4 linked regions of the Xenopus tropicalis genome follow. The protein of the gene in region 2 binds, or shares a complex with, the protein of the main gene of each other region. Links are inferred from orthologs where the notes say so. Each region holds a gene or a part of one and is shown on either strand. Other genes may lie near its edges.

Evidence for each region.
Region 1: the proteins of nalcn (region 2) and unc79 are in contact, whole or in part, in a cryo-EM structure (PDB 7SX3), measured with the Homo sapiens proteins. The link is inferred for Xenopus tropicalis from reciprocal best matches to the Homo sapiens genes NALCN and UNC79. Residues at the interface, in NP_001337678.1 of Homo sapiens: Gln349, Met350, Phe351, His352, Glu353, Gly358, Trp359, Gln360, Leu361, Phe712, Ser713, Ile714, Arg717; in NP_001333147.1 of Homo sapiens: Cys861, Gln862, Ile865, Glu968, Pro969, Asp970, Phe1020, Gln1022, Pro2088, Asp2089, Ala2092, Pro2093, Leu2095, Leu2096, Met2099, Leu2139, Pro2141, Asn2142, Gly2143, Ile2144, Gln2147, Leu2148, Ser2151.
Region 3: the proteins of nalcn (region 2) and unc80 are in contact, whole or in part, in a cryo-EM structure (PDB 7SX3), measured with the Homo sapiens proteins. The link is inferred for Xenopus tropicalis from reciprocal best matches to the Homo sapiens genes NALCN and UNC80. Residues at the interface, in NP_001337678.1 of Homo sapiens: Asn639, Met643, Val644, Ile646, Lys648, Leu649, Pro650, Phe653, Val655, Pro656, Lys657, Ile658, Arg659, Glu660, Phe662, Met663, Lys664, Gln665, Phe666, Ile667, Arg669, Val711, Ser713, Arg715, Ala716, Arg717, Leu719, Lys722, Glu723, Ala725; in NP_115893.1 of Homo sapiens: Lys1979, Asn2004, Glu2005, Cys2006, Asp2007, Leu2128, Arg2129, Leu2130, Pro2131, Pro2134, Arg2135, Ile2138, Asp2139, Phe2142, Phe2145, Ser2146, Glu2179, Asp2184, Glu2185, Met2187, Leu2188, Asn2191, Asn2194, Ile2198, Leu2199, Glu2202, Ser2226, Leu2227, Ser2228, Gln2231.
Region 4: the proteins of nalcn (region 2) and fam155a are in contact, whole or in part, in a cryo-EM structure (PDB 7CM3), measured with the Homo sapiens proteins. The link is inferred for Xenopus tropicalis from reciprocal best matches to the Homo sapiens genes NALCN and NALF1. Residues at the interface, in NP_001337678.1 of Homo sapiens: Cys207, Val209, Asn220, Leu222, Ala223, Ile224, Pro225, Thr227, Tyr237, Pro240, Phe243, Tyr406, Glu409, Phe909, Ala1044, Lys1045, Asn1047, Pro1049, Arg1054, Ile1060, Arg1062, Ile1063, Asn1064, Val1065, Ser1066, Lys1069, Lys1080, Lys1081, Gly1083, Phe1084; in NP_001073865.1 of Homo sapiens: Lys278, Glu281, Phe282, Val285, His287, Lys288, Tyr289, Leu290, Gln291, Glu294, Tyr295, Ser296, Val297, Lys298, Ser299, Tyr308, Trp311, Leu312, Gln315, Leu335, Gln338, Thr339, Cys341, Phe343, Ile344, Leu345, Pro346, Asp347, Asn348, Asp349.

The regions. Positions count from the first base shown.
Region 1 is NC_030684.2:87,915,426-87,924,049, reverse strand, and holds part of unc79 (protein unc-79 homolog), read right to left. Parts: intron 7,304-8,624; coding exon 7,113-7,303; intron 6,172-7,112; coding exon 6,048-6,171; intron 5,588-6,047; coding exon 5,447-5,587; intron 2,987-5,446; coding exon 2,765-2,986; intron 2,374-2,764; coding exon 2,146-2,373; intron 730-2,145; coding exon 582-729; intron 181-581; coding exon 98-180; intron 1-97. UniProt on the Homo sapiens protein: Auxiliary subunit of the NALCN sodium channel complex, a voltage-gated ion channel responsible for the resting Na(+) permeability that controls neuronal excitability.
Region 2 is NC_030678.2:120,372,473-120,380,103, forward strand, and holds the end of nalcn (sodium leak channel non-selective protein), read left to right. Parts: coding exon 1-29; intron 30-399; coding exon 400-515; intron 516-715; coding exon 716-873; intron 874-2,539; coding exon 2,540-2,690; intron 2,691-4,525; coding exon 4,526-4,672; intron 4,673-5,598; coding exon 5,599-5,716; intron 5,717-6,776; coding exon 6,777-6,970; 3' UTR 6,971-7,434; downstream 7,435-7,631. UniProt on the Homo sapiens protein: Voltage-gated ion channel responsible for the resting Na(+) permeability that controls neuronal excitability. NALCN channel functions as a multi-protein complex, which consists at least of NALCN, NALF1, UNC79 and UNC80.
Region 3 is NC_030685.2:56,160,913-56,168,263, reverse strand, and holds the end of unc80 (protein unc-80 homolog), read right to left. Parts: intron 2,799-7,351; coding exon 2,532-2,798; 3' UTR 76-2,531; downstream 1-75. UniProt on the Homo sapiens protein: Auxiliary subunit of the NALCN sodium channel complex, a voltage-gated ion channel responsible for the resting Na(+) permeability that controls neuronal excitability.
Region 4 is NC_030678.2:118,174,258-118,182,881, forward strand, and holds part of fam155a (transmembrane protein FAM155A), read left to right. Parts: intron 1-3,670; coding exon 3,671-3,842; intron 3,843-8,575; coding exon 8,576-8,624. UniProt on the Homo sapiens protein: Auxillary component of the NALCN sodium channel complex, a channel that regulates the resting membrane potential and controls neuronal excitability.

The sequences.
Region 1 (8,624 bases), on a different chromosome or scaffold from region 2:
ATATTTAAGAATAGATTTTACGTTATTCCTGGCTCTCGTATATTATTAGGTTATACCCTCAGTGCAATCAATGTAAACTCCATTAAAAGAACTGTACCTGCAAAATGGTGTATATCAGCTTCAGAGTCACAGGAAGCTGCTGATAACAGAACTTTCGATCTGTATCATTCTTGACCGCTGCTGAAACATCAAATACAAATGATGCTGATTATCTCTGTATATCAGTAAATATCCATTGACAGAACTCTTATAGCACCCAGAGCAATGATTCCTTAACTGTGAGAGTGCCTGGGGGGCCCCAGATGGGTTAAATTGAGATTCAGGGGGAATGTCTGTTTACTCTACAAAATATCCCTGGAAGACCAGTTTTAATAAGGCTGTGGTTTCGGTGTGAACAATTTCTTTCCCTAAATGGTTCATAATGACTTTGACTGTGCTCCATGAACCCCAAAAGCATATTACTGAATCTGAAGGATAGAATTATCCTTCAGATTCAGTAATGTGCTTTTGGGGTTCATGGAGCACAGTGCAAGAAACTGGAGTATCTAGACTGTAGCCTCTTATGACATTGGCAAACTCACTTGTGGCTGCAGGCTCTGTTGATTCAGTGTGGTTCCCTGGATTATCACTGTGCTTGTTTTTTGGGTTGTTCTCCTCTTCTCCCTCTGTTGCAATAATAAAATCAGCTCTGGAGAACAGCAAACTCTCTTCCAGGCTGTCAGTGGGCTCCTGAAAATATGTTTTTATGAATAAGTAAATTGGAATATACAGTAACTGCCAAAAATAATCTGTCCCAGAGAAAAGGTTAAAGGTAAAATCATAATAGCACAAAAATACCGGCACAACATGACTTGTTTAAGCGGGATAAACTCTGCTGATTTTTAATAGTAGCAAACCATGTAACGTTTCGGGGGCACGCCCCTTTGTCAGACATCATGTCTGACGTGGTGGAGAGTGCCGACGTCTCTCTAAATACTGTGCACCAGACGGAACAGAATGGAAAGGCCAGGGTGTGCTGGTGAGTGTGGATTGGTAAAGGTAAAATCATACAACACCATCCAGTGGACACATTATCACAACCAACTAAGAGTTGCAGTAACATTTGAATCATGCCTTTCCCAGACACAAGTGTACCTTTATACGCTATGCTAACTTGGCATTAATGACAAAACCTATCATTGGTGTGTATAATGCTCACCTAAATGCATAAATATAAAAAGTATTAGGAATCTATTTATTCTGAAGTTTGAGCAGAGCTTCCTTCTATTTAGATTCTTTATTGGCAGTTCCATCCATTTCTGTGCTAATACAAGGATCATTTGTCACTAGGACTGAAAGTTTGCTGAACCACCAAAATCCAGTGTCTAGTCTGCATGCTAGAAATGCGAGCAATCAATCACATTCATCTTCTTTGGTATAAGGGCATATCCAGGGCTCAGACACAGCTCACACATTAGCAATCCTGCTGAGCTATTCTGTAAACTGGAATATCCCTGCCACCACACAGTGTACCTCGTTTTTCACAATGACAGCACATAGGTAATGGATTTCAAAGAGAAAGAGATATATTGTATGAAAGGAGATATATTTCTAGGGCTTTGTTTGTTCCTGCAGAGAAAATACATTGATCTTTTTGCTTTTCTGGGGATTCCTAAGTGCCTATTTAATCACACTTTTTTTTAGGGCTATCCTATCTTAAATGCCTCACAGGCTTATTAAAAATTCTGTTTCCTGTTTATCTCTTCCCCAGTACCTCTCTGGATGTGAACGGCTCTGTTTTGGGGATTACAAATGATTTTACCAGTGTACATTTAGGGAGGGGTGAAATATGGAGCACTGTACCCGCCCACACATTGTACAGGTATGGGACCTGTTACCCAGAATGCTTGAGACCTGGTGTTTTCCAGATAAGGGATCTTTGCATAATTTGGATCTCCATTTCTTAAGTCTACTAAAAAATCATTTAAATATGAGTTATACCCAATAGGATTGCTTAATAGTTCTCTTTCTCTCTGTTTTACTATTAAACTCTTTTCTGTGGAACAAACATTTAGAATGACCCATAATGCAGCAGGACAAGTTTGAATCCCAAATCAGGCATTGACACTTTTATGACAAAATTTTTTATTTCCACCATCTACTTACAACAAGCCGGATCTCTTCCTTAGGAGCTAGCCGCTCAAGCAGCTCACAGGCCATCTGATAACATAAGATGCTGGATTGACAGAGACTGCATTCAACTGCTTTCTCATCCTTTTGACATGTATGGGAACCACCCCATGGGGCCTGTAATACGTTGTTTATAATGGAAATAATATCCTTTGACAGGCTATTCTCCAAGCCCATAGTGATCCCATCATCCTGTAATTCCATCTAAAAGATAAAAATAACCCAGTCTGTAGTTAAAAATAGTCGCATTTTCCTTAATATAATATTTTCTGACTTCTTGTGTAATACAAATACACTACAGCAGATGCCCCCTAACACCTGGATGAAGATGCCTCAACTTCAACAAAAAGATTTCCATACTCCAGAGATGGAACAGAACAGACAGCAAACCAAGGGCATGGGATCTGGAGTGTCTGTAGTTGCTCTGCGTAACATCCAGTTTTAATATATCTGTATGAAATTGGTCATCTTTCCTTATGTCTAGGAACTGGACACGAAAAGTATTTTGTTGTTGGGCCCAGTGACTGTTATTTATCCAACAATCCTGCTCTTTTAAATTAAATGGTGCAAATTGTGCCCAGATACACAGCTCTACCTGTTTCAGAATGAGGTCAAACATTAGTATGAAGCAGTTCAGATTCATTTCATCATCATCACAGTCAAAGTCAATAGTCCTTCCTCCGGGATGTCCATAGTTCTTAAAGGGGCTGCGAAAAGGACTGCGCATGGGGCTACGAAAAGGACTGTGAAATGGGCTAGGAAAGGGGCTGAGCATGCTGTGTTGAACTCGGCGTCCAGGGTCAGAAGCAATACTGCCCTGCAGGAAAGACAGGGGAGAAAGCAGCTGCTTAAAGAAGACAAGGACAAAAGATCAATTTTCTGATTAGAGCAATAAGTCATTTCAAGTCATTTGCAGTAGTAGAAATGTAAGTATTTGTTCTCTAAATTCATTGTTGAAGGTTTCATTCCTTAGCTTTGTGTTTCATGCAGCAACAGTGTCCAGTGCTAAAGAGAAAAGAATATGTACTCTTTGTATAACCATAGTTACAACAATAGTTTTGATTTCAGAAGCAAACAAAAAAATAAATGATTCTGAACAGGATCCAGTCGGCTTAACAAAGAGCTTGGCTTGATATTTTCACAGTACAAAAGCAAACAGCACCACCTAGAGACCTTTCTAACATATTGCCATAAAGTGGGGATTGTGCATTTTTACAGATATAGGTCCTGTTATCTGGATATGGGATTATTCTGTAATTTGAATTACCATGTTTTAAGACAGCTAAAACTCATTTAAAGGTTAAATAAACCCAATATGATTCATGTAGCTTAGTTAGGTTCAAGTACAAGGTACTGTTTTATTATACCAAAAATCTGGAATTATTTGCTGAAAATTTACTCTATAGGAGATGGTCTTCCCTTAATTCAGAGGTTTCTGAATAACTGGTTTCTGTATAAGGGATCCCATACCTGAATATGTGCAAAACTTCATCTCTAAAAAATATTTGGGGCACGAGGGCCCTTAAAAATGTTAACATGGTTAACAGTATCTACTATTTTTGCCAGTAGTTAATATGACGGTAATTCCATTTTCTACTTGCAGATTGTGTGGTTTGTTCTTAAGCCTTATATGCATGGCAGCAGGAGCCACAAGAAGTCTATGGGGGGCACTATGTATGGGGGGAATTTTCTATTGGAGGTACTCTCTATGGGGGCAATTGGGGGGCTACTGTGTATGGGGGGCACTGTATGGGGGGGCACTGTGTAAGGAGGGCTACTGTGTATGGGGAGCACTGTGTATGGGGGGCACTGTGTATGGGGAGGCACTGTGTAAGGAGGGCTACTGTGTATGGGGGGCTCTGTGTATGGGGGCTCTGTGTATGGGGGGGTACTGTGTATGGGGGGCACTGTATGGGGGGGCACTGTGTAAGGAGGGCTACTGTGTATGGGGGGCACTGTGTATGGGGGGTACTGTGTATGGGGGAACTGTGTATGGGGGGTACTGTGTATGGGGGACACTGTATGGGGGGCACTGTGTAAGGAGGGATACTGTGTATGGGGGGTAATGTGTATGGTGGGCACTGTGTATGGTGGGCACTGTGTATGGGGGGTACTGTGTATGGGGGTACTGTGTATGGGGGAACTGTGTATGGGGGCACTTTCTATGGGGACATTGTGTATGGAGGGTACTTTCTATGGGGGCACTGTGTATGGGGGCTACTGTCTGTGGGGCAATTGAGGGCATGGTCTATGGGGTCAATTGGGGGCACTGTCTATGGGGGTACTGTCTATGGGGGCAAATGGGGCACTGTGTATGGGGGCACTGTCTATGGGGGTGCTGTCTATTGGGCCATCGGGGGCACTATTTTAAAAATTAATTTTAAAAATGGGGTGTGGTAATTGGGGCGTGGCCACAAAGTGGGCATGGTCAAAAATTGTTTTTGTCCCTCTTTTCATTTTTCAAATGTTGGGAGGTATGTAACTGTGATAAATGCCCCACTACTACAAAAAGTGTGTGCTTCTGGTAGTTCCCAAAAACTCTTTAGATAAAAAAGTAAGCAGTTCTATAAAGAACAGCACTTCTACTATTTGCTTAAAAAAATTTCATAAATATTTCTTTACTACTCTTACTTCCCATATGTAACACAAGATAGTTTGTGCAGTAACCCATAGCAACAGGAGACTAGTAAATACTACCTGCTAGAGGTGATTAGACAACTTTGCACCTTTTACTACATAAAAGTGCTGTCCAACTTCTGTGGTACCGAGGGCCAGAATTTTTCTAGCCTATATGGTGGAGGGCTGCTAATGGAAGCCAGTTTTGACCACTCCCCTTTTTTTAAACCACACCTACTTCAAACAACACCCATGTTATCACAAAAGCTTTCAAGACCATACCCACATTTATGATGGAAGCGCAGCAAAAACCCAAATGGTTAGTGCTCACTGCAGGGACATCACCCTTTATTCATATGTGAAAGAATAATATTATATCATATTAAGACACACCCTTAAATCCATTTGCCTCCTCCTTCCCTGTGGATAGCACAGCAACCATTTAATGACTATTTCCAACTGCTAACAAACTCCTAGAACAAACCCCTGCCAGGTCCCACAGGCAGCATAGGGCAAGCAGAGTATGGCACACACAGGTAGCATAGGGCAGGCAGAGTATGGCACACACAGGCAGCATAGGACAGGCAGAGTATGGCATAAACCACCTAACAGTTATTACAGAAGATGGGCAATGATGATACACAATTAAAGCTTTGCTTACCCGGTGGCCTGCAATGTTTCCAGCCAGATCATTGACGCGAACCTTCCGTTGATTGGCTAGTTCTTTAACTGAATTGACTCCATCAGAAAACATGCTTATGAGCAGCTGAAGAGGAACCACTATGTCTAACTCAGACAGCACCTATAAAAAGTATAAAGGAAACCTATTGCATCATATCTGTTATATTATAAGAGCGTACATTATAAACCAATTTGAGTCTATGCATTTGTACTTTTTAGTTTCTAAACAATTGAAATGCTTTTATAGGAATTAAAACTGAGGTATCCAAAACAAAACCAATTTATCATAAATATAACTCATTAATATATTCTGTACACAAAAATTGTAAGGCTTAGCTACAACTAACAAACCCAGATCAATAGGAACTAAAGAACAACAGGTATCTGAAAGATTTTCAGACCTTCAATCTATTCCACATAGATGTTCCCTGTATACTTTAGGCTGTCAGGGGTTATATAATTCCTTGTGGATTTTTCATTGTCTGTCCATTAGGAATTACTTTACACCTTAGTGTACCTTTATAATGGCTCATTTATTCTACAACAGTCATGGTCTTCCGTGTACAGGGTTTTGTACTTACATGAAGCCACAGCAATGCCTGCTCTTGAACAGAGGATGGATACCCAGTAAAGCGACAGCTAATGAATCCAAACATCTCCTCCATGGAAAATGGCAGTGGGCAAAGCTCAATATCAAACATTTTGCTGCAAAATCAAACAGATGACAATATAATCTCTACTTGCAAAACAATGGCATAAACAGATATTGAACAAAATGGAATTGTCATTTCACAACTGTGTAAATCCTCCAGTAGGCATAGGCAGAATTTTTTACAGCAAAATTCTTGTTTGTGTTACCTTATTTATATTAGTTTGAAATCACTAAGCAATCTGTTTTTAAAAAGTCATGTTAACCCTATGGTCAGTGCTTGATGGTGCAAATTGCATCATATTTCTAAGCTGTTCTATCAACAACACAAACTTTCTTGGTGATTGCAAACTTTTGAACAGCAGTGTTTCTTGTTTAACAAAGGTCTTTACAACAAATTGAATGTGTCTGATGAACTTAAGGCCACTTCTCTTCTAAATAAACATGGATGCTCGTTATAGGTCATTTAAAAACACATCTAGTCTTGGTGGTATGTTTTGTAATTTAGCAATGTCCAATATGGTTATTCTATCAGCTGTTTAATGAAACAGAAAAAAACTTCCAGCATAATCATCCACTTTGCTGACAGAGAAGTTTTGGATCAATGTTGCAGCTGTGGAGGTCCACTGGAAGTAGTAAAAGCATATGTTCTATTTAGAGATGCATTGAACCCTTTGATTTGATATTCAGCCAAATCCTCCTCAAGGGATTCGGCCGAATACTGAACTCAATCTAAACACAGTAGGAAATTGCCAGCATGGAGAAGGAAAAGGCCAGTGCTGCAATTTTTTTCTTTATATAGGGTTCAGACTTGCTTTGGCCAGGATCTTGGATTTGGCCGAATCCTGAATCGAATCCAGGATTCAATGCATCCCTAGTTCTTTTACCCTGTAAAGATAAAACTAGAACTCCACCTTAATCATTCTTACAATATTGATAATAATAAGACTGTAATATTATCAACCCTTCTGCAGGTAAAGTAAAGATTTGCACTAACCTTAGAACCTCACGGAACTCTTTGAGCTGGGTGTCTGGAACTTCTGTTCGAATGGCTTCCAGCCATTCAGGCATAATGCATTCCCACACTTGCTGGTTTATTACATTATAAGGGATAAGGCAAAGTATTCTATTTAGACCTTCTTTTAGCTGTGTCACTGTACTGCATGATTTGTCCCAATACCCACCAACCTAAGGAAACAGTAACAAATTAGACTTAGAACATCATTACCAAACCCAACCCATAAAGTATCTGCAAAAATGCATATATAAAGAGAGGAAGTTTTTTCCCTTGCTTAGAAAAAGACTTTTTCTAAGAATTTAGAAATCTAAAACTGATAACGGTCAATACTTATTACGTGGAATAAGGTCTAAGGGGTCGTTTACCAACCTGTGCAAAAGTGTAGCTGCTCTAGAATGGATGCATTGCTGCCTGCTTGCTATTGGCTTGCAGTGGGTGGCAAAACCACCATGCAGAAGACCTGTATAATGGTTGTATGGTAGTTATGACACTGAAAGGGGTATTTCACCCTTACATTATTTTTTACTAAATTGTAGACTGTGATATACTAAGACCATTTGCAGTTGGTTTACATTTTTACATGTAAAAATGGTTTACATTGGAATTTCAGCAGCGATGTGGTATATCCTGGCCACCAGAAATTGGTTTGATTGAGATACTGGAATATAAATAGGAGAGGGCCTGAATAGAAAGATAAATAATTAAATGTAATAATAAAATTGTAGCTTGGGAAGTGGGAAGGTGGCAAATAATTAAAAAACCATGAAATTAATAAATGAAGACTAGTGGAAAAGTTGCTAGGAATAGGACATTCTATAACATACTAAAAGTTAACTCAAAGGTGAACTAGGTTCTTGTGTCCAAACAAGCTCCTGAACATGGCTGCCAATGCATCCATCCTAATGCACCCAGCCCCACAAGAATATCTACTGTCATCTAAATATGGAACTAACTCACACAGTATTAATACACCACAAAATATAAATAGAAATATCAGCAGAGGCCTGCATCCAAATTTACCTTGCAAGGCAAAAATACTTATTTCTTTCAAATTTGCCAAAACACAATAATCTGCACCAGTTACCTGTTATTTGATTCAATTATACCATTTTCAATTACTCCATGTTATATTTAATATAATTGTTAATGGTTTATTACAGTCTTGTTGCTGTGGAAAGCTCTAGTATGTTGTTTAATACAGTAATTGGCGTAAAAGCGGTTCCGTTATCCACAATGGATCACTGGTTTGCTTGCTCTTATTCAGTTAAACTTCTTTATCTATTCCACATTCACAGTTAAACTAAAAACACAAACCTCCCAAGCTAATGGTGTAGTAATTGAGCCTTTCAGATCCACGGCAAGTGATGGAGTTGCCTGCCTCTATTGCTCTTACTCTGAGTGAATCTCTGCCATAAAGCAAGGCAGAACTTGTTTGTTGCAAAAATAATAAAAGCTTTTTAAAAATAAAGCAAACCATTTTCTACAGAATGA
Region 2 (7,631 bases):
TGCTTACATCATGTTAAATCTACTGGTTGGTAAGTAGGGTTGAAAATGTAAGTCAAAAACACGGGCATTTGTTTGTTATGTGAAAAAAATTGATGATAGCTAAATGCTTCACTTAATCAGGAAGGGGTCATTTAAAATGTTTCAAACAGTTCTACAAGTGACACAACTATAGCTTTTACACCCAGTCTGCAGTTATCCATCTACTATATGGATAAATATGGCAGTTTGTAGTTGTAGGAAGTTGTAGGCAATATCTTCACCGATTTAAAGCAGAGCACTATGAATGATAGTCATACAGCCAGTGCTCTTAGAGTGTTGGCACCCAGTCCTTATTTAGACTCAAAATAGCATAGTAGGTTGTGAGATCTTCTGTCTAATACACGTTTGCTTTGATTTCAGCCATAATTGTGGAAAACTTTTCCCTCTTCTACTCTACTGAAGAAGACCAGCTCCTAAGCCCTAATGATCTGCGCCATTACCAAATAATATGGAATATGGTTGATGATAAAAGAGAGGTAACATATTTTATTCTGAGCATCAGGCAAAATATATTTAAGTGCATTCAGAGAAAACAATCCTGGGTCAAACCATTGTCATCCATGTACTGTTAAAGATTAATTTAAGCCATATTGTGAATGATATAAATCTGTATTGCATTAGGTAAACTGTATTGTACTGTGGCTTTGAATGATTTGTGACTATAAATATCGTATAGGGGGTTATTCCAGCTTTTCGTGTGAAGTTCCTTCTGAGACTGCTACGCGGGAGGCTGGAGGTTGACTTAGATAAGGACAAGCTTTTGTTCAAACACATGTGCTATGAAATGGAGAGACTGCACAGCGGGGGAGATGTCACTTTCCATGATGTACTTAGGTGAGACAATATATACAATTTGTACACTCATCTCTGAAAGCTACATGGGGAGCTAGACTTGGACAAGGACAAGCAGTATATAAACATATGTGCTATGAAATGGAAACCGTTCACAGTAGGGGAGATGTTGCTTTTCGTGATGTTATATATTTCTATATATTGCGCACAATTTATATAGTCTTATATTCTTATTTTATGTGACCGTTAAGATACCTCTGTGTAAATTGCCCCTTGAGGTACCTTCATACAAGCACAACGGTTTAACCCGTTCACTGACATGTAGAACCGACGTTGCTGGCAAAAAAGTTATGGCAGAGTGGCAGCAGTGCGGAGTCTATGTTCCCACATTTCATTCAAATGAAATGAAAAAATGAATTGGAAATAAGATGTTAAAAAGACAAACTGCAATAGAGGTGTATTCTGGCAGGTAAAGGCTTAAAGGCAAAGAAAAGGCATAATAACTTGGGGTTATAATATCTAACTTGGGCAGGCACACATGCACATTATAGCAAAACTTCTGCTTTCCAAAGCTAAATTCAGATTCTATTCCATTTGGCCTGGGGTCTGAGGATAGTAATAATAATTATGCTTAAGAAATTGAAACCGCCACAGTGATTTTGAATTTACTTCCCCTTTAATTGTTCACCAGTATGAAAATGTAAAAGTACATTAAACTGTTCTAATAAGAATTTCTTACAGCCGACTGGATGTTTAAACACATTATATATCTTTAAGACATAAATGTAAACTTCTCTGGTTTAAAAAGAAGTTTCGAAAGGTTAGACATCAAGGCACTTCCTATTCATCTGACAACATTTCAGGCTGTCTTTGCAATTCTGTATCCACTGTTATATTATAGATACTAATGATTCTAATGTTATTATTGTAATGTTACTATTTGCTTGTTGTTATTTTCCTTATCATGAATATTAGGGTTTTTTTGTAGAATGGAAATGAGCAGATTTCCTTTAATTAAAAACACATTTTGACATTTTCTTCACTAATGAAAATGCCTATCTTCAGGGTCGGACTGGGCCGCCGGGACACCGGGAAAAATCCCGGTGGGCCCCGGCGGCTCAGTCCGACCTTTGCCGGTGCTCCCCCTACTGACTATTCCTTCCCTGACATGTTCAATTTATACGCGCTCAGGGAGGATGTCGGGTGGGGGGCCCCTGGGGGGGGGTAGGGGACACGGCTGGCCGGGGCACCTGCAGGGCCCCTGGGGTGGGAGCCCTGGTGGGCCCTGCACCCCTCAGTCTGACCATGTCTATCTTTCATTGTCAATGTCACTTATAGATCTAATTTTTAACATAACCAGCTTAGAATGTAGGGGTTACACTCCTCTCCTTATAGCAGCACTGATACTGAAAAGTAAACAGGTAAATTACCATACCTTAAATAGTTAACCCATAGGACAAGGATAGTAAAATGAATTACCAATTTGTTGACACCCCCTAATAACCATTGCTGCAAATTGTTTGCCCCAGGCCAGTTTACCCCTTATGTAATATACAAACCAGGGCACATAGGAAAGATGATGCCACTGGGCTCAGTGAATTGAGTTTTTCATTTTCATTTGTTTTTTTTACCTACTAAACTTACTAAATATACCATGTAATGCTTTGTTGCATGATGCCTCACTGCATATCACGTTTGTTTCCTGCAGCATGCTTTCCTACAGATCAGTGGATATCAGAAAGAGCCTTCAGCTGGAGGAGTTGCTAGCCAGAGAACAGCTAGAATACACAATAGAAGAAGAAGTAGCTAAACAAACAATACGAATGTGGTTGAAAAAGTGTTTGAAACGCATTCGAGCAGTAAGTTAAATGTTGTTATAAATAAGCATGTGATTTGAGTATCTCTGGAGCAGCAGTGGCCAACACTGACCTTGCTGCCTTAAAGGAAAACTATAGCCCCAAACAATGTAGGTCTCTATAAAAATATGTTGCATAAACATACCCGTATGTAAAATCCTGCTTCATCTAAATAAACCATGTTCATAAAAAATATACTTTTTTAGTACGTAGTATGTGCTATTGGGTAATCCTAAATAGAAAATTGCCATTTTAAAAATTAAGGGCCGCCTCCTGGGATCATAGGATTCACAGTGCACACAAACAAGCCAAGGCACACATACGTGCTAGGCCCCATCAGCCAATTAATGGACAGAGTCTTGCCTTTTGCTTCCCCACTTTTTCCTGTTACAGTTAGAGCAGCATTATTTCTGGCCATGTGATCTCTGGGGGAGCACACAGTCCATCACTAAATGGTGGATCAAGGAAAAAAAGTAAAAAGGCAATATTTACTGATATATATTCCTGTTTGGCAAGATTATTTAATAGGCCACTTAACATAATATAAACTATCTGTTGGTTAATTCATTCATTCCTTTAACTATGGCATTATCTCTATGGAATTTTGTTGTAATTTTTTAATTTTTGTGTGGACTTCCTTTTGCTACAGCTAACAGCTTTTAGAGAGTTATGGTAGTTGTAGTATAAGAACAGCTGAAGGTTATACACTCCTACTAGCAATAAATCTGTCCCATTTTGCCGGAAAATTTGCGAAATGCATTGTCAGTGGGAGAGAATTTTTTCTTACGTACAACAATTTTTTCTTATGCACGTGCATTTCTCATGTGCATTAATGTCAGTGGGCATTTTTTCTCACTCCCACAGTGTGATAGGCATCGCATTTTTTTACGAGAAAATTTTGAAAAATGTATTGAAGTCAATGGGCAACAAATTTTTCTTACATGTGACAATTTTTTCTTACACATGCAATTTTTACTTCTCACTGCAAATACATTAAAGTCAATGGGTGTTTTATTTCATTGCTGCAAATCTATGCCTGATGGAAAAAAGTAATGGCAATGCCTTGCAACCTTCCCTTAGTATAGACTAATGCTGCTCTGTCTTTAGATCCCCTTTTATGAAACAGTGTAATATTCATTCCAAACTAATATTGAAATCCTGCATATGTTTTTCAAATGAATAATGTATTTTTTTTATTGTATGAATGGGCCACCCACATTGGTATCTTGGGTTCATGTCCTCAATCTCAGCCTCACTGTTTTCAGATTTAACAGATCATTATTATCGTTCATTTATATAACTCCCAACACATTTACACTTTACAGAGATTATTGTTCACATCAGTCCCTATTGCAGTGGATCTTACAATCTAAGCACCTATTGCATTCAAACACAGTTTTATGATGAACCAAATAACCTGCCTGTATGTTTTTGGGGTGTGAGAGGAAATGGGAGTACTCAGGGGAAACTCACAGAGAGAACATGCAATCTCTTTGCAGACAGTGCCCAGGCTGAAACTCAGTTCAGGCTTACAGGGATGCTAGACAGAAGTGCTACCCACAGAGAAACCATAATACAATTAAGCATTCAAAGATTGGCCTGTGTTAGGAAAAAAGAGGTTTTACCAATTCTGACATGTAATGTTAAATATTTGTCTAGATAGCTTACACATAAATACTATTTCCTCAGTCACTAATGAATGAGAATATTGTAAATGGCACCTAAATTTGAATTGTATTCTGTCTATGGGTCCATTATTCACAGATGTGTTGTGATGTGTTGTTTTCTTCTATAAATGAACTGAAAAAAAGGTTGTTTCAACTATATTTATTTCATAGAAACAACAGCAATCATGCAGTATTATACACAGTTTGAGAGAGAGCCAACAGCAGGAACTGAGCAGGTTTCTGAACCCTCCTAGCATTGAGACCACACAGCCAAGTGAAGATATGAACCTAAGCAACCAAGACAATGCACAGCCAGAGGTATGTGGCATAAGAAACAACTTCCATATACACTTTGGGGAAACAATTCAGCATTAGCATTGGCAATAACTTGAAACTGATCATCTGGCATCTGATACTGTAAAGAATAGAAATATTACTCCAAAAGGAATAATGAAACATTGGAATAAAGGCCATTGGTACATGTGGTATTTTACCTGCCATATGATTCAAGGCGGCATAACTGTGTTGGTCAAAATGCCTTTAATAGCCTATCAGTTCCTCCCCAACTGAAAAGTATGGGAAGAATGGAAAATGATCTGCCTATGGTAGGCGCTAGTGGTAACATGGAGGCAATACATCCCTTTTCTTCAAATCAGCTATAAATCTTGCAAGACAACAAAAAAGACAACAGAAATATAAGAACAATCAATACACTGTATTAGTAAGTAACTATTGCCAATTATCAGTTTATTAGCGCATTTCCATATGGCCAATTAAGGTTATAAATTATTTTCAGTTTATTTTTAAGTTGACATAACATAGTTATCACCCTATGGTGGCGAAAGAAATTGGCATGGCTAGATTTACTAGGCTTTAGTAAACCTTGAGAAACATCTTACATAGCGTGGATTCAATAACACATATATGCCAAGAAATCTGCAATTACTAAACCATTTTTATGGATTTAATTCTGACTCAAACCATTGTTAGCCTCTATGAAACATTAGAAAGCAAATGCCATTATATGTGGATTGCATAAGTAAGCATTTAAGCAGTCAAATGGGGTAATGTAATAAAAAGAGCAAAGTATGCTGCTGTTCTACTAACCCACAGCAACCAATCAGCAGGTGGCATTAACAGGTCATGGGTTTGTGAAAACAATCATCTGAGAACTTAAGAAAGAAGGAAGCAGAAGTAATCAGCTTTGGCAATATAAACTATGTGTGTCTGCTTTTGTCTCGCAGACAAGTAGCCAACAACAGCTTCTTAGCCCAACGCTTTCTGACAGAGGAGGTTATCGTCAGGATTCAATTGAAGCTGGTAAACCTCAGAGAAAGTTTGGGCAGTGGCGATTACCAGCAGGTAAGTGTGCAGGTAGTGCTGCTTTTATTGTACTACTATCCATCCTGGTAGATTTTATGAAGCTAAAGTTAGCAAAAAAAATGCATGAGTAAAACTACAGCTTTATTGGATCTCTGGGTTAGGCCCTAATATGGATCTAAGCAGAAGAATATAGTCAGCGCAAGGCTCTTCCAATGAAGGCAGCTGTCCTTAACTCAGCTTCTTCAAAGAAGGGCACTACTGTGCAATAAATCTTATATGGACTATAGGGACAGAAATAAATCAAATAAGGCTAGATGCCAACAAATACTGCATGTGACTAGCTCTGTATGGTTATAATTTGGAAGAGCAGCCTTGATACCCAGATATGTGTGCTTTAATTCCTGGGGTACACATATATATATGCATAACATATATATGGCATGTCTTTTTACAAGGAACCTTTATCCAGAGGTCTCTCTTTAAATACTTATTCTACTTTATTTGGGCAGTTGATTGTAATATATGTTTTATTAGTTGTTTTATGTATACTTATTTCTGTCAGTATAAAGTTCCTATAGTCCATGTTGCTTGCCCTGAAAAAACAATGAAGTATATTTCCAGAGATACAAGTACTATATCACGTTTAGAAACTACCTGGTAGCGACTATTCACAGTTAGAATTGACCAAATAGAAAAACATATTGGCTTAAAACATTTAAATTCTTCAGCAAAACTTTTGTGCCAAGGGACAATACAGTTAGGGGGGGTTGCAAGTCACAGTGTCACACCACAGGAATTGCAAATCTAATGGATGATTTACTGGGGCCTTCAGGTGACATTCGGCTCTACACCCATTTATTTCAGACCATGTTGGTTTATGATTTATATAAAAGGGTTGTAAGGTGAAAAATTAAAAGGTTCTCCATTATAAAATAAAGCTGTTCTCAATATACATTCATTACAAACTCTCTACCATTTTTACAAAGAGAACCTGCAAACAGACTTTTAATTTTCGCCTTTACTCCTTTAAGCCTATATTTTCCATTGTAAAGATGCTCTGTGTACATACTAATACAACCCTATATTTTCTGCAATTCAGCACCAAAACCAATAAGCCATTCTGTGTCCTCTGTGAACCTACGATTTGGAGGACGGTCAACAATGAAGTCTGTAGTGTGCAAGATGAACGCCATGTCTGATGCTGCCTCCTGTGGTTCTGAAGTCAAGAAATGGTGGACAAGACAACTGACAGTAGAAAGTGATGAGAGTGGTGATGACCTTCTTGATATGTGAGGCTATTACTAAGCCTAATTCAGACAAAAGTAGTGGATGATTGCAGAGCGCTTTTCATGTTGGTATTATTTTCTATTATTTACATTTCAACTTACACACAACCAACTTTTGTATTTTTCGTATTAAATTGTTGATGTATCTAAAAAATATGAAATATTGCAAAAGCCAAATATTTTTAAAAAAATGTGTTGCAGTGTGATATCATAGAGTTATGCAGCATTATAAAAGATCTGCAACTTACACAGGGAGAATTGTAAATGTGTTTATAAATGAATGGTTTATATGCAGGAATGTCTCTCTTGGGAATACTGTGAGATAAAACATTAGGAATATAAATACCTTCTGTATTCAGCTAATATATAAATCACTGGGTAATACAATATTTCAGCCAAAACGGATTTCAGTATTGTAATCTATGTAAAATTGTATTCATATTAAAGTTATTATGCTTTTAATGACTTAAACAGAGGAGTGACCATCGTCAAAATGTATTAAAAAGTAATGTTTCTATTATGTGTTTGGGGTTATAGCCTGCTGCTGGTTCAGAGGCATCCTTACAAAGCCCCCCAAATAATGTTTGCCATTAGTTGGAATGCATTTGTATCAAAAGTATTTGGAACTACATTACTGCATTACTACACCTAAGGATGGGCATGGAGCC
Region 3 (7,351 bases), on a different chromosome or scaffold from region 2:
CAATTGCCAGCAGATGATAAACTTGCAAAAGAGGCTTTGAGGTTTATTTTTAAAAATATTGACACCAACAAAAAGTAAATTTAAATATCAGTTTATTTTGTAAACATCAATTTCACATATATAAGCTCTGTTCCTTCTTGACAAAATATAGGTAAGCTTTTAGATATATATTTATCTTATACATATGCAGTTTACATTTGGCAACCAAGAGGTTCTTCCCATTAAGCTAAAGCCACATTGGCTGTTTTCTCCAGTGACATGGTTCAGCCGGCAGGGAAGAGACCAAAACCAGTCCTGCTACCTCCCACTGAATGTAATGCTAAACCCATGAAAGGTGCTAAGGCTCAGCACCAGTACTGGCAATTCTTGCACTGATAATGCACATTAGTGAGCTATTGGCGAAATTGTTGTGTTTGTCTTTAGCTTTTAATAACTTTCTCTCTGTTGCACTGTGGGCACTGGGTGGATTGTGCTTTCAGGACAATGACCATCTTACAGAGGTACCTATACACCTCTGTCTCCGTTAGGCTTAAAAGTACACACTTTGTCCTTGGAGTCTTATAAAATCATATAGCAATGCTTCCTGTAAGTTTCTTGGGGTTTTCTTCCCATTTGAATAATTTCCGGGTCCAGCGTAAGATGTTGATCAAATGTACCTTTTAGAATTTTTTTGTAATAATGTTCATAACTGTTAATTTACTGCCAGATTCCATTTAGTCTTCACTATTCATTAAAGTACAATCACTGATAAATTGCTATTTAACTGCACAGTAACCAACAACAAACAGTGCACTCTGGATGGAAACAACAATACACAACAGCTCCACATATTAATAAGTAGGCAGCCTCTGGGTTTAAAGTACCAGGTACACAACACAGCCAGAACACTGTATCTCTAGAAGGAAAGGAAAGAATAATGTTCTGTTTGCAATTCAAAATGAAAGTGCAAAGATCTCTCTTCTGTCCAAGAGTATAAAAGTGCATTAATGTGCATGATAGTGAAGGACCTGCAATAATGCACACGTACAATTTTTACATAGGATAAGTACACAGAAGGAAACTTATTCTGTTCAAATTGAACTACCCCACATAGAAATGTTAATACAGGACAAATACCAATAGGCAATGGAGGTTCCGCAACAAGCTGAAATTCGTTAGGTGCACATTAACATTAAAGGGATTGTAAACTGAAATAAAAAAATGTGCAGAAATAAAAGCAAATTTGTAAGTAACATTCAATGGACTATTGAAGCAATGAAACATCTGTGATTCTCCTTCTTTAAAGACAGCAGAGCATTATAGGAAGAGCAGAGCATTATAGGGATTGGAGCCTTCGCTGGAGGACAGCTGACAACTGCAATTTCAATAGCACATGAGTAGAGAGTAGCTCACAGCGGCTCCACAGAGTGAAAATGAACATTTCATTGCCCATTATATAGGCATTTTAGGGGGCTTATTGTTCAACTTGAACTTACTTTCACCCCCTTGGAAAATAGGCCCTTATAATTCTATAGAAGTAAATAGATAGCTATGGAAGTTCATTTTGGCGAACTGTGGGGCCTCTTATATTTACCCTATGATAGATATTCCCCAAGGTGTATACAATACACTTTCTATGGGGAAAGTGTGAATAATTAGAAAAGAAGTAGTAGTATTAACTCTAAGAGATTTGGTGGGATTGTGTGCAGTCATTTTAACACTTAAGTGAAGAGGCAAATGACTTACATGAAATAACATTTCACCTTATGGCTACAATGAGCACAGGCATGACAGTTCATTTTAGTACACAAGACAAAAGCACACAGTGTAATGTTATGGCTACACACAAGGCATTAGCAAGAGGTACACAGCAACGCACAATGCTATTAAGGCCTTAGGCACTGTTAAGCAGAAAACAGGAATGTCAGATGCATGAACGGAATACCTGCTATTTTGCAACATTGGTTTCTAAATTCACAGTAGACCCAGAAACATCATTAAGGAGAAGCAACAGCTCAGGATGATGCTGAGTAATGTTTCAGGTCTAAAATAAAAAACAGACTATGAACACCTTTCTGTTCATTGTACTGCACATCCATGTAGCAATGGAGTGAACACATTACATTCATGTGGTTTATGGAAACCACCCTTCAAGTATCTATATTTTAGAGGAAAGAAGTCTAACAAACATAAATGGGAGACATGAAAACCTGTTTCTACACTCATTGTTCCAAACATCTAGCAGAGGGATGCTGACAATCAGATGTACAGTGTCACTAAAGCCAGACACTTCAAGGCTTTGCACTATAGTACTGTATTTGGCATATTCAAACAATTTGGTTTTTTTCCTTGGGGTTTTCACCTTTCACCTGCTCAGTTACTAGTGACACTGCACTGAAAAACAATTTAGAGCAAACCAAGCACGAACAAAAGTAACAAGCAACAAGTGTCATCATGGTTTCTGCTTGACCAGTAAAGTGTTTGTAGGTAAAAATCCCCTTTAGAAATTGGGTGTTGCCACATACACAGAGAGGTTTAAGTGTGCACCAGGGTTACACATGAGACTCGTCCAGATCAATGTCTGTTTCTCCCAGTTCGATGTGTGAGAAGTTAAAATGTCCTGAAACCAAAGGGTTTTCCATTCCACTATCTTCTGTGATGTGAAGAACTGTATCGCCATATTGGAGAAGGCTGCTGGTCTCCAGCGCATTAAAGTCTTCAGGGTCTGAAAGATGGGAAGATGGGGAACTGTGGAGAAGTTGGGCTGATGCTCCCCTGCTAGACTCTGGGTTCTCTTTCCCTAGGAAGTAGCCCCCTCTCTGGAAGAATAGTGGGAGACCAAATTGAGCAAGATAAAATGAGTATAATTTTAAAAAATTCAAGTTTCATTTACTAGTTCTATAAAACGCTGATTTGACTTTCATGAAATAGTATAGATTTGTTGCTGCATTTACTACACATACAAGTGCAAACATGGTGAAATAAATATATATATATTTAACTTCTGGAAACAGAACAAATGTGAGCAACCATACGGTTTTAGTATATTTTAGTACATTCTCACTATAAACACCAGTGCACCAAGCAATATCCTGGTAATTACCCCTGTGATGTTGCAGCAGATTGCTGTACTCCTTCGCAGTTCTACAGTCACACCTCTGTCTTCCTCCCTTAGTTAACATCCCCCCTCAGGCATCCTCTCTCAGATATCCGCCTTCAGTCATCCTCCCTAATGTATCTTCCCTCAACCTTCAATCATCCTCCCTAATGTATCTTCCCTCAACCTTCAATCATCCTCCCTCATATATCCTGTTAGCATGCAAATTAACAATGGAAATGTAATTAATGCTTTATTTAAAAACCCAAATACTAAGGGGCAGATTTATCAAACTGTAAGTGTAGAATGTAAAAACTCACCTGCTTTCTATTTATTTCTATGTGATTTTTAGAAGTGTATTTATTAATGGGCGATAGTTAAAACTCACCATTTGATGAATACACTTCTTAAAATCCCATAGTAATGAACAGGATGTAGGTGATTTTTAATGTACCATATTAAGGGCTAAACTTACACTTTGATAAATCTGCCCCTAAATGTAATTAGTCCAATGCTCTTATCTGCAAGATAATGGTTTTATTCATGCTTCTTTATATTTAATTGCATATATTCAAAGTTTCAAGATCTGAGCAAAAGTTAAACAGCAAAAAGTTTGAAACACACCTGCATTGAAATCCGTTTTTCAAAAATAAAACCAGATTTTTTAATATTTAATTTTGAAATTTTTCAAGGGCCTAACAATATTCTTCATTTCCCAGGGTGTCACAGCCATGTGACCTGTGCTCTGATAAACTTCAGTCACACTTTACTGCTGAGCTGCAAGTTGGAGTGATATCACCCCCCTCCAGCAATCGATCAGCAGAGAATGGGAAGGGAGCAAGATAGCAGCTCCCAGTAGATATCAGAATATCACTCAGTAGTAAAGGTCCCCATACACGGGCCGACTATAGCTGCCGATATCGGTCCCTTGGACCGATTCGGCAGCTAATCGGCCCGTGTATGGGGAGAGCAGAGCGGCCTGGCCGACCGATATCTGGCCTGAAATTGGCCAGATCTCGATCGGCCAGGTTAGAAAATCCGGTCAGATCGGGGACCGCATCGGCTCGTTGATGCGGCCCCCGATCCAACTGCCCCATTGCCGCCCACATAATTATTTTTTTTTTCACCTAAAAATACACGAGCGGATCTGCTCGTGTATGGCCACCTTAAGAAATCTAAATCTAGTTTGGGACTCCTCCAGTTACATGGGAGTAGGGAAAACAATAGGTTGCCTGAAAGCAGTTCTAATGTGTAGCGTTGGCTCCTTCAGAGAGCTCAGAATCAGGCACAATGCACTGAGATGGCGCCTACACACCAATATAACTAAAAAATTTGTTGGTTCAAGAATAAAATTTATAGTGAATTATTTGTTATGTAACCAGTGTAATTTAGAAATAAAAAGTACACCATAAAAATCATGACAGAATCCCTTTAAAGGGCACGTTCACTTGGTCTGGGTATCTGTGCAGGAGCGAGGCATTATGGGAACTTTCTTTACACAGCTCAGCGTTTTCTCTTCCTGTTTGGCTTCTGATCTTCTGAACAGGTGACTTAAAGGAACAGTAACACCAAAAAATGAAAGAGCTTTAAAGTAATACAAATATAATGCACTGTTGCCCTGCACTGGTAAAACTGGTGTATTTGCTACAGGAACACTACTATAATTTATATAATAAGCTGCTGTGTAGCCATGGGTGCAGCCATTCAAGCTGGAAAAAATGAGAAAAGGCACAGGCACATAGCAGATAACAGATAAGTTCTGTAGAATACAATAGTGTTTTATCTGTTATCTGCTATGTGCCTGTGCCTTTTCTCCTTTGAATGGCTGCCCCCATGGCTACATAGCAGCTTATTTATATAAATTATAGTAGACTTTCTGAAGTAAACACACAACTTTTACCAGTGCAGGGCAGCAGCACATTATATTTTAGTTACTTTTATACACTTTCATTTTTTGGTGTTACTGTTCCTTTAAGGGCACTATTGAGAGAACTGAAGGTATGCCTGCAGCTTGAGATTAACTCTTTACTAGCCTTTCCTTTTCCTTTAAAAGACAACAAACTTGAATAAAATCATTAATTTGCAGATAAGAACATGGGACTTAGCACTGGGGTTGTTTTTAAATAAATGTTTATTTATATTTACATTGTTTAAATCATTTAATTTGCCAAAGTGACAGTTGATAAATAAGCGAAGAGAGAGAATGACTGAGGGAGAAGGGCAGATACAACCTGTGTAATAGCGCATGCATACTTGCATTTATAGTGAGGATGTCCTAAAATGGTTACCGTACAGCCAACACATCAAGCTCATGTTCATAATGAAAAAGAAATACACTGTTCCAGCCATAAAATAAACAAGGCAACTGTTAATAAATAAGGCAACTTTTTCAAAACAGACCCTGAACATCACATCCTAAGAGTGAGGGCACACTTGGTATAGGGTCTGCTTCTCTCTGCCTGCATTTTGTAGGCAGGTGGAGAAAAGCAAATCCACTCCTACTGTATATGTTCTGGGGTGTAGTTGCACTGACAGAAGCAGTGTCAGCCTGAGTACAGCTACACAGGATGGACATGGACCCCAAAATGCATGTTTTTGCAATTTCTGGCCCGATCTCCACTTTGTGTAGCTACATTCAGGCCAACACCATGCCTGTAAGTCAAGCTACACACAAGGGTGTATAGAAGTGATTGCGTTTCTCTTCACCTGTCTACAAAATGCAGAGAGAGATGCAGGTCATACGCCCAGGGTGCCCACCCTAAGGAACATATTCAATAAGACGTTTAGAGTGTAAATGTATGCTGTTGGTTGCTAACTTCTCTCACTCTGATTAGGTTTGCATTATGGATCAGCAACGCAGCTGCCCCACTTTTCCTTTTTTGGTGTGTTTGGTATATGACATAAATAGGCCAATTTACTTAGGAGTAGATGGAACTATGGGCGTTCCCTTTAAGAGCTCCATGCAATAAAGGCTTTTGCCTAGCCCTGTAAGCTATGTTAAATATCTGATGCAGAGTACAGTGCAGTCAGACACAAGGACCCCTATACTGTACTTACAGGGCAGTAAGTGCAGGGCTGGAACTTAAACCAGGAGAAGCAAAGAGGAAGATCCAATGTTTTTGTTACCAGTCAAGTATTGCGCTAGCCCAGAGCCAGCAAAGTTCATAATGAAAAGTATACTCTTTGTGCCAACCATTAGTCAAATACAAGAAAACAGAGAATATAGCTGGCACAGTCAATAACACCAGTGTAACCAAGCCAATATGGACTGCTATAATGAGACTTTACAACCTGGACAGTAAACTGTATTATAATATTTCCATCAAACAAGTGGATCTACCCAAGTTAGACTTAATCGTCCACTAAAGCAGATCTATGGCCAGTGTGGTCACCCAAATTTACCCAGGTCTTTGCAAACATACTAGGAAAGAATAATATCCATGGACTAGTGTTATTGTTGCCCTTTTCATTTTTTTTCATCCAGCCCAATCAGTATACAATGTCCTCTACCACATATGAGTTGGCATTGTTTTGTTTTGCCAACTCGGTCAACACCAGCCAAATCAAAAGGCAATATCAGCTTGTGCATGGATAACCTTAATCTCAGACACAGTAGAAAGATACAGAGAACCTAAATTAGTTGTTAAACAACTATAATCACAACTCATCTACACAGCAAGCACACATCATATAATCACTGGGGAATCTGGTGGTTTCAAATGTGTGTTTTAATGATATACAGGTATAGGACCCATTATCCAGAATGCTCGGGACCAAGGGTATTCCGGATAAGGGGTTTTTCCGTAATTTGGATCTCCATACATTAAATCTATTAAAAAATCAATAAAACATTAATTAAACCCAATAGGATTGTTTTGCATCCAATAAGGATTATTTATATCTTAGTTGGGATCAGTTACAAGGTTCTGTTTTATTACCACAGAGAAAAAGGAAATCAGTTTTAAAATTCTGAATTATTTGGTTAAAATGGAGTCTATGGGAGACGGGCTTTCCGTAATTCGGAGCTTTATGGATAATGGGTTTCCGGATAAGGGATCCCATACCTGTACAAGATGCTCATTCATATTGCATATTCACAGTAGAAGTCTTTTACCAGTAATTAAGAAATTAGCATGGGATCATAACATATGTGTTAGTTAATACAAACTGTACAGATAATATACATGCATAGTACACAAGGTTTACGTGCACATGAGAAGAAACTTCAAATCTAATTGACAGTGGGGGAGTCCTATGAAATGATCGTGCAGTGGA
Region 4 (8,624 bases), about 2.2 Mb from region 2:
GTTCTTTTCTTTTTGACATGAAACAGCAGATGTTGATAACATGTCTCCTTCAGGCATAAGAGGCAAACGGTCAGACGTGTTCACTGGCTGCCAAGCTTAACTTCAAAACCACAGAGGACATTTTGTTTTCTAAAAGGGATAAAAAAAAAAATATGTCATTTGATTATGAATGCCATAAAGATATATTATAAAACATTTTTATGTGCAAAGCAAAGAAATCTAATTATAGATTTGCAAATATGACAGGCCTTCTTTCTTTAGATTAAAATGGATGCTTGTTTGTTCCTTATGAGCAGTATTCATCAATTGAGTTTCCAATTAATTAATTGACAAAAGCACTTTTGGGAAGATTCAATAAGATCTATTGCACTTCCCTGCAAGTAAAATTAATTAGTATTAGTGTTTTTGTATCCATATACATGAATTACATTGTCAGAGTTTCATCATGTTAATTAACTGATGCCTGTGTGTAATTCAAGGGCAATAATAATAGTAAATTCTATATATTCTTGTATATATTACTGATGTATACAAATATATATGAAGAAGCACACATAGGCATAATATGCAATTGCCTAGGTGCTCATACACAAAGAAATACAGGTATGGGATCTATTATCCAGAATGCTCGGGACCTGGGGTTTTCCGGATAAGGGATCTTTCCGTAATTTGGATCTCGGTAACTTTAGTCTGCTAAAAATCATTTAAATATTAAATAAACCCAAATAGGCTTGTTTTCTATCCAATAAGGATTAATTATATCTTAGTTGGGATCAAGTACAAGGTTCTGTTTTATTATTACAGGGAAAAAGGAAATCATTTATAAAATTACAATTATTTGCTTATAATGGAGTCTATGGGAGATGGCCTTTCCGTAATTCGGAACTTTCTGGATAATGGGTTTCCGGATAAGGGATCCGATACCTGTACTACCAAGGAAAAGGCTTGGCATTCCTTTCCCTTGCTTTCTATTTATATTTTTCATAATGCCCTTGAGTAGATTCTCCTGTTTCCTGCTGCAATCTGTTATTGCTGAACCCCTGGTTTAAAATTGGAATGACTTTTAATATAAATTCCAAATTGATCAGTTACTTAGGATATATTGCTTGTGGAAGATGCTTATTCTGTGCTAAGGCTAAAACAGATTATATAACAGCACTAGTGCAAATATAAAGAGGCAGTGACATGGTCAGTTTTTAGGAAAGGTCTGTTGTGGTTCTACCACCACAACCACAGTCAATCAGACTGCAACACCCTTCACTAGCAGCAGAATGAGGCTACACCAACTCTGACCTCTCCACATTTAGGGTACAGCATTTTTTATATGACATTCAATATTATGTACAGGAAAGTCAGCACTCAAAGAACTTAATAGATATAACTTCTCTTATAGACCTATATATACACACACCCCCATCCCATCAGAGTAATCAGGTAGCAGACACTATGGATGCTGAGAATATCTGAATCATATAGCTTGAGGTGAAATTATAAGGAAGAATGTGCACTCCAAGAGTTATTATAGCTTTTATTTGAGGTATTTAAATGTTTTGAAATAAAAACCAGAATTTCTAAGTCTTAGGGGCTGATTTACTAACCCACGAATCCGACCCGAATTGGAAAAGTTCCGACTTGAAAACGAACATTTTGCGACTTTTTCGTATGTTTTGCGATTTTTTCGGATTCTGTACGAATTTTTCGTTACCAATACGATTTTTGCGTAAAAACGCAAGTTTTTCGTATCCATTACGAAAGTTGCGTAAAAAGTTGCGCATTTTGCGTAGCGCTAAATCTTACGCGAAAAGTTGCGCATTTTTCGCGTAAGTTTTAACGCTACGCAAAATGCGCAACTTTTTACGCAACTTTCGTAATGGATAGGAAAACTCGCGTTTTTACGCAAAAATCGTATTGGATCCGAAAAATTCGTAAAGAATCCGAAAAAATCGCAAAACATAAGAAAAAATCGCAAAGTACCGATCATTACGAAAAAAACGCAATCGGACTCCATTCGACCCGTTCGTGGGTAAGTAAATCAGCCCCTTAGAGAGAACATTTAAATAGAAGGATAATTCTTGAAAATGGGATGTATGAGACATTAACTGAGGCATTTCCTAATGGTGTTTTTTTTTGAGCCAAAACATGATTTTGTTGGGGAAAACCCCCCACAATTTTTCTTGCAAATTATTATGCAACAAAACCGTCACATAGTTACATAATTACATTGGGTTGAAAAAATACCAGAGTGCAAAGTTCAACCCTTCCAAGTAAACCCAGCACACACAAACCTATACTGACCTATTTATACACTCACATACATAAACTATATATCAGTGTTTTTCAACCTTTTTTGGGCAAAAGCACACTTGTTTCATGAAAAAAATCACGAGGCACACCACCATTAGAAAATGTTAAAAAATTTAACTCTGTGCCCAGCAGCAGTGCCCCCCTAGTACATTGGTGCCCAGCAGCAGTGCCCCCCTAGTACATTGGTGCCAAGAGCAGTGCCCCCCTAGTACATTGGTGCCCAGCAGCAGTGCCCCCCTAGTACATTGGTGCCAAGAGCAGTGCCCCCCTAGTACATTGGTGCCCAGCAGCAGTGCCCCCCTAGTACATTGGTGCCAAGAGCAGTGCCCCCCTAGTACATTGGTGCCCTGCCTACGGCACACCAGGCAACAACAGTGGTTGAAAAACGCTGCTATATATACCAACATCAATACTAACTGTAGATTTTAGTATCACAAAAACCATGGATACTATGCTTGTTCAAGATCTCATCCAAGCCAAAAAGCAAAAATATGCCGTCTGAAACCTGTTGAGATTATGTAGAAGTTAATGGCCGGTGTCATTTTTTCCAACTGGAAAATCTTTCTTTGCTTTGTGGTTTTAGAGGTTTTCGGGTTTTTTTTGACATTTCATTTGTGTGACACTATAAAAAAGTCACAGTTTTCGTGTTGTTTCCACGTCTTTGTTTGTTCTTGCTTTTTTAATTCAGATCTTATAATAAATGACTAAACATTTGTGGTTTTTGTGACATGAGTTTAGTTGTATGTCCCATAATCTCTTTTGAAACTAATCCAGCGAATAGAGAGTAACACAACAAATATCCCTGCAGTAAGCAATTGGTGTTGAGATTTAATTTCAGTCTCTGGGATGAGGATACAAGCTCTTATTTACCAAACCAACCACAACTGGGATGTGCTAAAATAGATAAAAGATTAATTAATACTATTCATAAAACTACCTGTGCTTATGAATATATTCACATTTCAGTTGGGAATAATTGCAGAGACCACCAAAGTGCCCAACCAGCCTGTTTTGATGTGGTGGTAGGTCTTGTGTTCCAATAAGGGGTGCTACTAACTGAAATGTGCTACTATTTGGGTTAAAACTCTACATTGTGGATAAAAAAACATGGTTATCTGTATCCTAAAACTGAACTTTGCACTATCCAAAGTTTTGTATTTGTAAATGAGCCTTTATACAGTATACAGCATGGAAATAATATTCATTACTGAGTATAGGGCTTACTTATCTACAGAATTGAAACTAATCAAGAACTTGTATTGCCTTCCCTCTAATACAGACCTTTTCCAGTTACTTGTGCATGCTTTGTTTATACATTCTTTAAAGTTAAACTGATCTACCTATCATTTTCTATTTTTCATTTCAGGCTGTCTATAAGTCCTGGCTATGCTCTCAGTATTTTGAAGTCACCCAGTCAGAATGCAGTAGCAAAATCCCATGCAAGCAATACTGTTTGGAGGTACAAAAAAGATGTCCCTTTATCTTACCAGATAATGATGATGTTGTCTATGGAGGCCTATCAAGTTTCATATGTACAGGTAAGCTGCATGTATAGTTTTTAGTAAACTGATTCTTTAATAGGTCACTTAACATAATATAAACTATCTGTTGGTTAAATATTCATTCTGGGGGTATAGTTTTCTTTTAAACTGGAAAGCTGTACAACAAAACAGTTACAAACAAATTGAACAGTAACTTACAACAGCAAATAGTCGCTGCGGCCTACTAAATGGTATTTCAACTTCCCCTTTAAGATTGGATCTGCATCTCTATGGTGTAGTGACATTTATTTTCCTGCTTAATTCCCTTGAAGGTCTGAGTAAAAGGAGATTTGAACCAGAATGATCCCTGACTGCTGCAGTAACTAATCTCAAGTTTCTTCTCTGTTGCAATTAGTATTTGATGTGACAAGCCATTTGCTTTGTTTTTTACATGTGTCAGATTAATTATAGAGGTGGAATTGACAGTTTGCCTGTTTTCTCTCTTAAAAAGATCATGCTATTACATAATTACATAGTTATTTAGGTTGAGAGAAGGACAGAAGTCATTCAAGTTCAGCCATTAACAAAACCTCTTCTGTGTGTGCCGTTTCATAGAAGTGCTTAACCATAATAACAGTTCATTAATGAATGCTACGTCCATTATCACCTTCATAGGGTATAAAACTTCCTTCTGACATGCAAGAAAAATGGCAATTGAATTTTCTTTATTTGAACGTTTCTTGGATGATTACATCAAGGTTTTACCCACAGCAAAAGTGATTATACCAAAAAAGTCGGTACAGGTATGGCACCTCTTATCCAGAATGCTCAGTACCTGAGGTTTGCCTCCAGTAGGTTTTAGATATCTCAGTTGGGATCAAGTACAAGGTACAATTTTATTATTACAGAGAAAAGGGGAATAATTTTTAAAACTTTGAATTATTTGATTGAAATGAAGTCAATAGGAGATTGCCCTTCTGCAATTTGGAGCTTTCTGGATAATGGATCCCATAGCTTTACTTGCTGTACTAGCTCCCTATATAAAAGCCTCTTTGTGTAGCTTTTTGGCAACTGTAACATGCTCTAACAAGCCAGGGCAATATGGAGGTGAGTTTGGAGCAGGGGCACCCAAACTTGTCCTTTGGTTCTTCAACAGTCAATGTTTTATTAGTATTAACTCAGTAAAACAGGTGTATCAGTTAGTGCCAGAGACTGGGGTATTAAAACCATCTCAGGCCATATTAAGCTCTCAGTTGCTTTCCTTATTCCAAATCCTATACTGAAGGGGCCATTTAATAAAGGTATGATTTTTTTTTCTTTTAGCACTAAAACTCGCTGAAAAAAAGTTGAGACTTTTTCAAGATTAACAAACTGTGACAATTCCATATAAAACTTGTCGAGATCATGGATTTTTCAATGTTGTAATTTGAATTTTTACTGCAATTCAAATTTTTATTGTGCTGAAATTCACTAATTTTGAGTTTCCAGAACTTGGATGTTCAATATTTATCAAGCATAAAAAAACTTGAAAAACTCCTATGCGACACTTCATCGTCTAAAAGCTTGCGAGTTCATCTAGAAGTCAATAGGAGTCGTCCTAGCAAAATGTTACAGATTTTTTCAGCTTGAGTTCTTTGAGTTTTTCTGATTTTTTTGAGTTTGTAGACTTATTGAAAATGGTGAGCGGAATGCAAATTTTCTGCGTTAAATGTTTTTTTAATTTACGCATGAGCAGTAGTAAGTGCCCTAATGGATGGTTTGTTTGCCCCAGTAGATTTCAATAGATTTTCCCCTCTTCATTAACATCTGTGTTATTTTATTTTAAGAAGGCTACTGTACACCTTACCCTAAACTTACTATTAGCTGCAAAACTCATCTAATATTTTGCTATCTCTTATGTTGGCCTCTCAGTAACCTGTTTTTGATGGCCAAAAATGTTGGGGGGGTCAGGTTCTCCTGTGCTGCTCTTTTCTTTTTCCACTTTCTCCTCTGAAGTATCACCCAGATAGTTTCCTTCAGTCTCAAGAAATGACTAAAACCCTTCTGCATGCCAATGCCAGGACTAAAGGTGACCATGCACGTTAATATCCGCTTGCTTGGCGAGGTTGCCAAGCGAGCGGATCTTTTCCTGATATCCTCACCTATGGGTGGGAGATATCAGGTGAATTTATACAAATTCGGTCGTTTGGCCCTGGGGCCTAATGATCAAATTAAAGCGCCATTAAAAGGCAGTTGATTCAGGGACCGCATCAATGAGCCGATAACGGCAGCTACCATCGGCCCGTGTATGGCCACCTTAATGCAACCAATGGCCAGAGCTTCCTATCATTCCTTTCCTAGAATTGCAATAAGTTGTTTTTAAACTTTTAAATCCATTCACTCATCCATTCACTTCATCTTATCCTTCTCTGAAGTACCTTCCCACACCATGTTGCCATGCTGTTTTACCCTCCTCAAATGTTATGTTTCAGACTTTAATACATGTTTTTGTTGCACCAAATGCATCGGAGTTAATTGCCTTTTTTATACAGTTTTTTTCTTGTGCAAATGCATTAAAGTCAATGACCATTTTTTCTTGTGCTGAATATATTATATTATATATACTCATGCAGATTTGCAAGCAATTTTGTCACTCATGAAAAACGTGAATTTATTTGCAATTTGCATCTACTGAAAAATTAGCTTTTTCCTACTATTCATACTCCAATTTCACTACATAATTTATTTGTTGTTAATTTATTCCTACACATCTAAACATATCATTGTGTCTAGTGCTTCCATAGAGTATAGTTATCTAGCGAAAACTGGGCCTTCTGTCCCCAAATCACTCATTCATGCTAAGATTTTGTATAAGTCTTGGTTTACACAACAAAATCATAAAATGTTATAAAAATGTTATAAATGTAAACAAGTTATATTCTTAGCCCAGTTACATGTTCCTATTTCAGAATGAGTTATATCAAATTTGTTTTATAATTTGTCCCAATGTTGTCGTTTAATATTCAAACTGTCTTTAGGAATATGCTACAGCTAGATATTTTTATTTATTTTACTTTCCAAAAGACATTATCATATGAATACAGCACCACCATGTGGCAAAAACAAGTAATGAAATAGTTTTAATCCTGTCGTTGGTAGCAATAGAGAATATTGAATAGAATATTTTTCCAATCATAAACATATTACAATATTACACTGGTGGCATTTTGAAAAATAGTTTAAGTAATATCAGAAATATGAACCATCTTGTTCTAAGGAATTTACAAGTCATTATTGTATAATGTTTATTATTTTTGGAACTGTGACACATAAGAACTGTAAGTAGGTAGTGTTCAGTTCAAAAACTTTCGACCCATGTGTTACAAAGCTGCAAGGCTATTCACTATTCCACCATGCTGCTGCATAAAAAAGAAAGGAACCCCTGGGAAGCAAGCTTGAAAGGTGGAGATGGAGGGGGTATGAATTGGAGGACAAATAGGGCCTGCAGGAGGTGCTTCAGTAAGAAAGCCCTTTGAGGGAAATTTGTAGGGAGGGGTGCAGGAGGTTTTACTTCTGAGAGCCTGGGAAGGTGGGTACACCACCTTCTCAGGACCATGGTGGTGGGGCAGTGAGTAGTTTCTTTCGCTTCCATCCATAAGGGTGTTGGAGTTTAGCCATTGCAGTAGCTGGTGATTCAGAGCTGCCCTGATGGGACATCAGAAAGAATCCCCTAATATTAAGGGGTATGTAGAGTGTGAGGGATAAGCCTGGGACTATGTTCTGTCAAGGAGTACAAGTATGTAAGTGTGTCATGGGAAATAGAAAGTGTAGACCTAATCTCGGACATTGTAGTGGATGTGCTTATGGCAGTGATGTTAAGATATGGTAAGTATGTTATTACACTAAGGGTGACATTCAGCAGCTTATGGACACACAGTCATGTTATAGTTAATGTTTGAAATATATATTTCTGACGTTTGGTGGACTGTGTTTGTCTTGGGTGAGAGTTGCACAGGGTTTAGGAATTGAGTTTATGCATGGCAAGATATTTGTGTGGAATTTTTTGCAAGGCAAAAGTTGTGTCTTTTATTACATATTGGGGAAAAATAAGGGACATCATTATTAAAATTTATTTTAATAATTGTAAAACATGATGTCTCTCATCAGCTACTAAAGGGCACCAAGCTAGGCATGCAAAAATGTTCAAGCTCATGTGAGTATTATGCCATAAAGAACGTAATTGCACCTTTGTGCCAAATACTATTAAAGGACAATGAAAGGTTAATATAAATTAAAAGTAAGTCTAAAGGCATTCTTTTTAAGTACTTACTGCATATCTAAATTCCCAGATCCCTGCTTGTTTCTCTGAGATTTGGTGCTGGCAGCCTACAGCAGTGTGAAGACTACAGTGACATCACTGAAATCTCTCTGTCCTTCCTGTAGCCTGCCAGCGGCAGCCTTCCTATTCTCTGAGCATGTGTGTAACTTGATCCTGTCTCCTGTTCTGAGCTACACATGCCCACCAGCCAATCAGAAGCGGATCTGGCAGAGGGGAGGGGGGGTGGGAATGAAACACATGTGCAGTATGAAGCAAGGAGGGAAAGGAAGGGAGAATACCTTTTTAGAGATGGCTGCCTCTTCTAGAAAATGTGAAGTAAGTGTGACTGAGTAAATATTTGATTAGGTGAGCCAAAAGTGGGGTGTTTTTACTAAACAAGAGGGCAGTATGCTTTTTAAATTTTGACTTGCATTCTCCTTTAACTTAGAAGCAAATTATGTTCTATGAATTTCATGTGTGCTTTATTTTGCAGGGCTGTATGAAAATTTTCCAACCAATGCAGAACCAGAATGCTGTGATGT